2 linked regions of the Xenopus tropicalis genome follow. The protein of the gene in region 1 interacts with the protein of each later gene in a pairwise test. Links are inferred from orthologs where the notes say so. Each region holds a gene or a part of one and is shown on either strand. Other genes may lie near its edges.

Region 1 (4,026 bases):
AAGTAATTGTAATTAAAAATCTGAGCTGTCAATCATATATTGCCTGCCCTGCCTCTATGCCTCCGGCATAGAGGCGGGGCAGGCAATATATGATTGACAGCTCAGATTTTTAAATACATTTATAACAGGTATGGATGATTTAATTAAAAAAAGAATTTGGGTTCCATGTTTAAATGGGCTTATTTATTAACACAGGAGACAAACATTGCCGATGATGTTTCCCAAAGCAACCAATCAGCAATTAGATTTCAATGGCCCCCTAGAAAACAAAAGCAAAGATCTGATTGGTTGTTATGGGCAACATCCCCAGTAATGCTAACCACTATTACTAAATACACCTCTTGGGGCTTATGTTATAAAAGGCACTAAGTTTGCCCAGGAGCAGTAACCTATAGCAACCATTAGTTGCTATGGGTTACTGCTCCTGGGCAAACTTAGTGCCTTTTATTACATATAGGGACATTTAACAATGTGTCCTTTGTAAAGCAGTATACCTACCCCCCAACTCACACCCTGTACCGTGGGGCCACATTCGTTGCTACCATAAACCCGGCCCTGTGTTGGGCTGGAAAGGCATTAGGTCAGGAGTAGGTTATACTCACCCCTAAGAAGCTGAGCGCAGCCGGCTGACTAAACCACTTCAGTGCCGCAAACTCTGCGCATATCCCCCTACCCAGCCGACTGTCACACGCTCGCTTCCGGGTTCTGACGCAGCAAGGTAAGCCCGCCCACTCACGCCCATAGGCGGAACAGACTAGGGACATTCCATCTGCGCATGCGTACACCTACACTCGGGAATCCCTCACTCTCCCTACTAGCGCGTCACTGAAATATAAAACTCCAAGCCATTTCGCCTTTATATAAGTCCCTCCCGTCAATCATCCCCTCACTGACCCCCGTCACCCATAAGATTACGTCATGCCATAGAGACTGCCAGTAGCTCATAAGCGTTCCGCAGCCTCTGAGGGTGAGGAAGTTACCTGGGTAACGACGCGACTCGGTTGAAACTATATATAAGTAGGCGTGGTTTCTAAAAACACTTTGCCCAATCAGCGCGAAGCAAAACAAAGGAGACCTTGCGTGTAGGCGTGGTTTAGGCTAGAAGCGAGGCTCGGTACGCAAATGGTAGTAAGGGAAGGGCTGGGCTGTGAGGGGCTTGGCCGCGGATGCAGGCTGCTGGGTTTTGGGTGGGGGTCAGGGGATCTGCTACTCTTGCAGCTGAATGGCACAGTGCGGCTGGCAGCGCCCGGGAAACATGCGGAGCTGAGCTGCCCCTCATCCCTTTCTGCCCCGGGAGGGGCGTCAGCTCCCAGCCATGACTGACCTGAACAAGATCCTGCACAAATGGAGCGCCAGCCTCAAGAAGGGCACTGACTTCGACTCATGGGGGCAGCTGGTGGAGGCCATTGATGAGTACCAGATGTAAGTGGCTTGGCTGGCAGCCTCACCCTTGGGCCGGGCATAGAGTGGGTAAACTAGCCTTAGGGTACCAGGAACCCCCCCCCCCCAGTCAGCAGCTGCAGAACCTCTTGGGATGGGCATAGAGTGGGTAAACTAGCCTTAGGGTACCAGGAACCCCCCCCCCCAGTCAGCAGCTGCAGAACCTCTTGGGCCGGGCATAGAGTGGGTAAACTAGCCTTAGGGTACCAGGAACCCCCCCCCCCCAGTCAGCAGCTGCAGAACCTCTTGGGCCGGCATAGAGTGGGTAAACTAGCCTTAGGGTACCAGGAACCCCCCCCCCCCAGTCAGCAGCTGCAGAACCTCTTGGGCCGGGCATAGAGTGGGTAAACTAGCCTTAGGGTACCAGGAACCCCCCCCCCAGTCAGCAGCTGCAGAACCTCTTGGGCCGGGCATAGAGTGGGTAAACTAGCCTTAGGGTACCAGGACCCCCCCCCAGTCAGCAGCTGCAGAACCTCTTGGGCCGGGCATAGAGTGGGTAAACTAGCCTTAGGGTACCAGGAAACCCCCCAGTCAGCAGCTGCAGAACCTCTTGGGCCGGGCATAGAGTGGGTAAACTAGCCTTAGGGTACCAGGAACCCCCCCCCCAGTCAGCAGCTGCAGAACCTCTTGGGCCGGGCATAGAGTGGGTAAACTAGCCTTAGGGTACCAGGAACCCCCCCCCCAGTCAGCAGCTGCAGAACCTCTTGGGCCGGCATAGAGTGGGTAAACTAGCCTTAGGGTACCAGGAACCCCCCCCCCAGTCAGCAGCTGCAGAACCTCTTGGGACGGGCATAGAGTGGGTAAACTAGCCTTAGGGTACCAGGAACCCCCCCCCCAGTCAGCAGCTTTAGAACCTCTTGGGACGGGCATAGAGTGGGTAAACTAGCCTTAGGGTACCAAGAACCCCCCCCCCAGTCAGCAGCTGCAGAACCTCTTGGGAAACAGTCCTGCCCATGACATGGTTATTCGGTATAGTGCCTCAGTAAGCTTGCCTGAGGGGGAATGCGCTGTTCCTATGTTGCAGGTATGCATAGTAAGTAATTGCCAAGTGGAGACACCTTCATGCAGTACCAGCTGTGGTGGAACTAGTGGTTACTTTGCCCCACAGCAACATTATTCTGGGACCCCTCAACTTTAGGAATATCTTTCTCATATACTGAAACTTCCTATCAATATCTACATTATAAATTGTGAGTGTTATAGTGTATATATACTGTATAGTGGGCCCGTTATAGTGTATATATACTGTATAGTGGGCCCGTTATAGTGTATATATACTGTATAGCGGGCCCGTTATAGTGTATATATACTGTATAGCGGGCCCGTTATAGTGTATATATACTGTATAGTGTGCCCGTTATAGTGTATATATACTGTATAGCGGGCCCGTTATAGTGTATATATACTGTATAGCGGGCCCGTTATAGTGTATATATACTGTATAGCGGGCCCGTTATAGTGTATATATACTGTATAGCGGGCCCGTTATAGTGTATATATACTGTATAGCGGGCCCGTTATAGTGCATATATACTGTATAGCGGGCCCGTTATAGTGTATATACTGTATAGCGGGCCCGTTATAGTGTATATATACTGTATAGCGGGCCCGTTATAGTGTATATATACTGTATAGCGGGCCCGTTATAGTGTATATAGACTGTATAGCGGGCCCGTTATAGTGTATATAGACTGTATAGCGGGCCCGTATAAGTGTATATAGACTGTATAGCGGGCCCGTTATAGTGTATATATACTGTATAGCGGGCCCGTTATAGTGTATATAGACTGTATAGTGGGCCCGTTATAGTGTATATAGACTGTATAGTGGGCCCGTTATAGTGTATATAGACTGTATAGTGGGCCCGTTATAGTGTATATAGACTGTATAGTGGGCCCGTTATAGTGTATATAGACTGTATAGTGGGCCCGTTATAGTGTATATAGACTGTATAGTGGGCCCATTGGCCGCAGTGACAGCAGCCCAGAGCAGAAAAGGGGGCTACGGGGGGCATTTTTGGGGGCACAGATCTTACCTGCTAAAGGGCTGTGGGGGCCTTGGGCTGGTACAGAATCCCAAAACTGCATTTTTAGCCTGTTCCAGACATATTGGATACCATATACTCCTTTGGGGGAGAATATAAAAGCACCCAATGCTGGGGCTGAGTGTCTAAGTTGCCCAGTGGGGCTGTACTACCAAAGTAGTTCCATTGGTGGCTAGCTTCTTGTTACAGTGTGAGCCAACTGTTTGCTGTGGGGACAGAGCTAACATGTGAAACTAAAACCTGGGGGTGTTATTACACAAGGCTCTTTCATTGGGCAATTGGAAAACAGGGACTTGCTGCTTCCTCGGGGGAGGCCATTGGCAACATTCTCCAGCAGCTGGCTGTAGCCATAAGGCAAAGCCGCAGTGCTTGCAGTGCCATTTTAATGCCCAAGGCTTTCTCTGACCTGGGCATGAAACCATAGAGAAGAACACACATTAGCTAAGGAATGCCCAGTCTGCCAACCTCCCCAGTGTTGCCAGAGGGCCACATCCCTGAAGTAGAAATGACAGAATTAGTTGCTGTAATGTGCTGGGAGTTTA
Region 2 (4,113 bases), about 140 Mb from region 1:
CCTTGTTATGGGCTAAGGGGGCCCAGCCTGAAGGCCAGTTAGGGGGGGGATTTGGGGTGAGTGCTTATTTGTGCCCTGGGTACCCCTGGAACTATAGCGGGGTGACTGTTACCCCAATGTTTCTATATATCTGTAACCTTGTTATGGGCTAAGGGGGCCCAGCCTGAAGGCCAGTTAGGGGGAGACTGTATCAGTCCTGACCTGTCTTATTTGATTTGGTTCTCTCTCCCTGTGCCTATGGTAAGACTGCTCCAGAGACCAGAGATGCTTGTTGCACTGACTGTGACCATTTCCCTGAGTGCCGCTATACTGAGCAGAGAGAGTGCATGTAGCAGAATGAGATGACTATGGCAGTTCATTACCTCATAGTTGATAGAGGCTCCGAGTCCCAGAGTGTTGTTCTTTACTTGCACCTTGATGTGGTCTGTGCTCCCTTGTTCCTTAGCTCCCAGCCCCTATAAGAGAAAAAAAGAGACAAACTTTAAAGTGGTTGTTCATCTTTAAATTAACTCTTAATATGATGTACACAGTGATAATGAGAGACAATTTGCAATCGGTCTTCATTTATTATTTCTGGTTTCTCAGTTAACTTTTTGTTCAGCAGCCTTGCCATTTGGAATATCAGCTGCTATCTAGTAGCTAGGGTTTTGTTTACCTTAGCAACCAGGCAGTGGCTTAAACAAGAGATTGGAATATTAATAGGAGAGGGACTGAATAGAAAGAAAAAAAACCAAATTATAAAATTGTAAGCTCACAGAGCAATCGTTTTTATCTGTCGGGGTCAGTGACCCCCATTTGAAAGCTGGAAAGATGTAGAAGTAGAAAGTAAATCATTCAAAAATGATAAAAAAAATAATGAAGACCAACTGCAAAGCTGCTAGGAATAGGCCATTCTATAACATAATAAAAGTTTAGTTAAGTTAAAGGTGAACCACCCCTTTAACATAGGGGGCGTTTATACTGTGACCAGGGCTCCACCCCCCTTATTGACCTAAATCATCCCAGAGAAGTTCAGTGTTTAGCGTTTATTTCTTTTACATTTCCATATCCCCAAAAAGTTGCCCCTCCCCCAGAGTGAAAGAAATGGCTAATAAAGTTACCATGATGACTCGAGTTGTGGCGGTATAAAGAGCTACCTACCTTGCCTTTGGACCAGCCCATCTTTTCCAGCATCTTCTGGCCAAATTTGGACTCATCCTTACTCCAGGCGCTGTTTCTTGGGTCTACCGACCATTTCTGTTTCCTACGGGCTAAAGGCAACAGCGCAGGTTATACCCCAAATGTGCCATTAAAGTAACACTGTTATGGGAAAACATGTTTTTTTCAAAACCCAGCAGTTAATAGAGCTTCTCCAGCAGAATCCTGCATTGTAATCTGTTTTTCCCATGGGGCTAGCCATATTCTTCATTTCCCAGGGTGCCACAGCCATGTGACCTGTGCTCTGATAAACTTCACTCACACTTTACTGCTGCGCTGCAAGTTGGAGTGATATCCCCCCCCCCCTCACCCCCAGCAGCCGATCAGCAGAACAATGGGAAGGGAGCAAGATAGCAGCTCCCAGTAGGTATCAGAATAGCACTCAATAGTAAGAAATCCAAGTCCGGCTTTGGACTCCTCCAGTTACATGGGAGTAGGAGAAACAATAGGTTAGCTGAAAGCAGTTCTAATGTGTAGCGCTGGCTGAAAGCTCAGACTCAGGCACACTTTACTGCTGCGCTGCAAGTTGGAGTGATATCCCCCCCCCTCACCCCCAGCAGCCGATCAGCAGAACAATGGGAAGGGAGCAAGATAGCAGCTCCCAGTAGGTATCAGAATAGCACTCAATAGTAAGAAATCCAAGTCCGGCTTGGGACTCCTCCAGTTACATGGGAGTAGGAGAAACAATAGGTTAGCTGAAAGCAGTTCTAATGTGTAGCGCTGGCTGAAAGCTCAGACTCAGGCACACTTTACTGCTGCGCTGCAAGTTGGCGTGATATCCCCCCCCCTCCCCCCCAGCAGCCGATCAGCAGAACAATGGGAAGGGAGCAAAATAGCAGCTCCCAGTAGGTATCAGAATAGCACTCAATAGTAAGAAATCCAAGTCCAGCTTGGGACTCCTCCAGTTACATAGGAGTAGGAGAAACAATAGGTTAGCTGAAGGCAGTTCTAATGGGTAGCGCTGGCTGAAAGCTCAGACTCAGGCACAAGGCACTGAGATGGCGCCTACACACCAATATTACAGCTACAAATACATTTGTTGGTTTAAGAATAAAAGGTTAAATGGCAGAGGGAATTATTTGCGGTGTAACAGTGTCATTTAGAAATAAAAAGTACCCCATAAATATCATGGCAGGGTCCCTTTAAGTTGCCACAACAATGATTGTTTCTGTTAGAAAGCATTGGTGGGGGGGATATCACTCCAACTTGCAGCGCAGCAGTAAAGTGAGACTGAAGTTTATCAGAGCACAGGTTACATGGCTGTGGCACCCTGGGAAATGAAATCATAGTAACTACAACTCCCAGCATTCCCAGTGTTACTAAGAGTTGTAGTTCAGCAGCAGGGGAGCCACACAGAGAGTCACATGGTGTGTAAGACACATGGCTGCCCCCCCACTGACACACTTGGTGCTGCAGCAGTGCAAGGGGCAGAGTGCAAGGCTAATGGCAGGCCCCCGGGCCACACTTACGCTCTGCCAGCATTGCCATGGTCCCGGAGCTGGAGGGCACTGCCGGGATAGATGTTCCTCAGGGCACAGCTGGGCGAAAAAGGAAATAATCCCGCGTCACAGTGACCGCGACACAGCGTGTTGATGACGTAAGGCCGGGCACAGAAGCTGCTGTTAGTCACGTGAGCGCCAGTAAAGGGGCGGGGCCACTGGTAAACGCTATATATATTCCTGCCGCCCAGTAACAGCCCTAGTATTGAGCAGAATGCGGAGTGTTATAGCGGGACTGTGAAACTGAACCTCTGCAGTCTGTATCGGTATAAACCGATTCTATACATTCGCCTTTTGGCTGCTTGGTGTTTGTTTTGCTCTAGCGTGAGGTAAATGAGAAAGGCGAATATCAATAAAACGTGCACATTTCTATAGGGTATCCGTGTGTGCGTTACACCACTTCCCCTTCAAAGGGACCCTGCCATGTTATTTATGGGACACTTTGTATCTCTAAATGACACTGTTACACAGCAAATAATTCCCTCTGCCATTTAACCTTTTATTCTTGTACCAACAAATGTATTTGTAGCTGTAATATTGGTGTGTAGGCGCCATCTCAGTGCCTTGTGCCTGAGTCTGAGCTTTCAGCCAGCGCTACTCATTAGAACTGCTTTCAGCTAACCTATTGTTTCTCCTACTCCCATGTAACTGGAGGAGTCCCAAGCCGGACTTGGATTTCTTACTATTGAGTGCTATTCTGATACCTACTGGGAGCTGCTATCTTGCTCCCTTCCCATTGTTCTGCTGATCGGCTGCTGGGGGTGAGGGGGGGGATATCACTCCAACTTGCAGCGCAGCAGTAAAGTGTGCCTGAGTCTGAGCTTTCAGCCAGCGCTACACATTAGAACTGCTTTCAGCTAACCTATTGTTTCTCCTACTCCCATGTAACTGGAGGAGTCCCAAGCCGGACTTGGATTTCTTACTATTGAGTGCTATTCTGATACCTACTGGGAGCTGCTATCTTGCTCCCTTCCCATTGTTCTGCTGATCGGCTGCTGGGGGGGAGGGGTGGGGGAGGGGGGATATTACTCCAACTTGCAGCGCAGCAGTAAAGTGTGAGTGAAGTTTATCAGAGCACAGGTCACATGGCTGTGGCACCCTGGGAAATGAAGAATATGGCTAGCCCCATGGGAAAAACAGATTACAATGCAGGATTCTGCTGGAGAAGCTCTATTAACTGACGGGTTTGTAACAAACATGTTTTCCCGTGTCAGTGTTACTTTAATTTAAAGTTGAAAGTTAACAGGACCTTCATTACAGTTACTATGGGTGAGCTCCATAGCAATCTCCCCAGCCCATGTCCAAGACGGAGCGGCTTGAGTCCCCGGTGCGCTTCCTGAGTTATGTAAGGGTTTAACATTCTGTTTCCACAGGATCCATAAGAGACGTGTCCATTCAGAGTCGTTGTCGCTCTACA

The links. The genes of interacting proteins can lie anywhere in the genome.
Region 2: the proteins of aida (region 1) and pinx1 interact in binary tests that used the Homo sapiens proteins (3 or more experiments, as listed by UniProt). The link is inferred for Xenopus tropicalis from reciprocal best matches to the Homo sapiens genes AIDA and PINX1.

What each region holds. Positions count from the first base shown.
Region 1 is NC_030681.2:9,589,431-9,593,456, forward strand, and holds the start of aida (axin interactor, dorsalization-associated protein), read left to right. Parts: upstream 1-1,226; 5' UTR 1,227-1,315; coding exon of another isoform or gene 1,316-1,422; intron 1,423-4,026. UniProt on the Homo sapiens protein: Acts as a ventralizing factor during embryogenesis. Inhibits axin-mediated JNK activation by binding axin and disrupting axin homodimerization. This in turn antagonizes a Wnt/beta-catenin-independent dorsalization pathway activated by AXIN/JNK-signaling.
Region 2 is NC_030681.2:151,067,331-151,071,443, reverse strand, and holds the start of pinx1 (PIN2/TERF1-interacting telomerase inhibitor 1), read right to left. Parts: upstream 2,801-4,113; 5' UTR 2,686-2,800; coding exon 2,667-2,685; intron 1,251-2,666; coding exon 1,141-1,250; intron 456-1,140; coding exon 363-455; intron 1-362. UniProt on the Homo sapiens protein: Microtubule-binding protein essential for faithful chromosome segregation. Mediates TRF1 and TERT accumulation in nucleolus and enhances TRF1 binding to telomeres. Inhibits telomerase activity. May inhibit cell proliferation and act as tumor suppressor.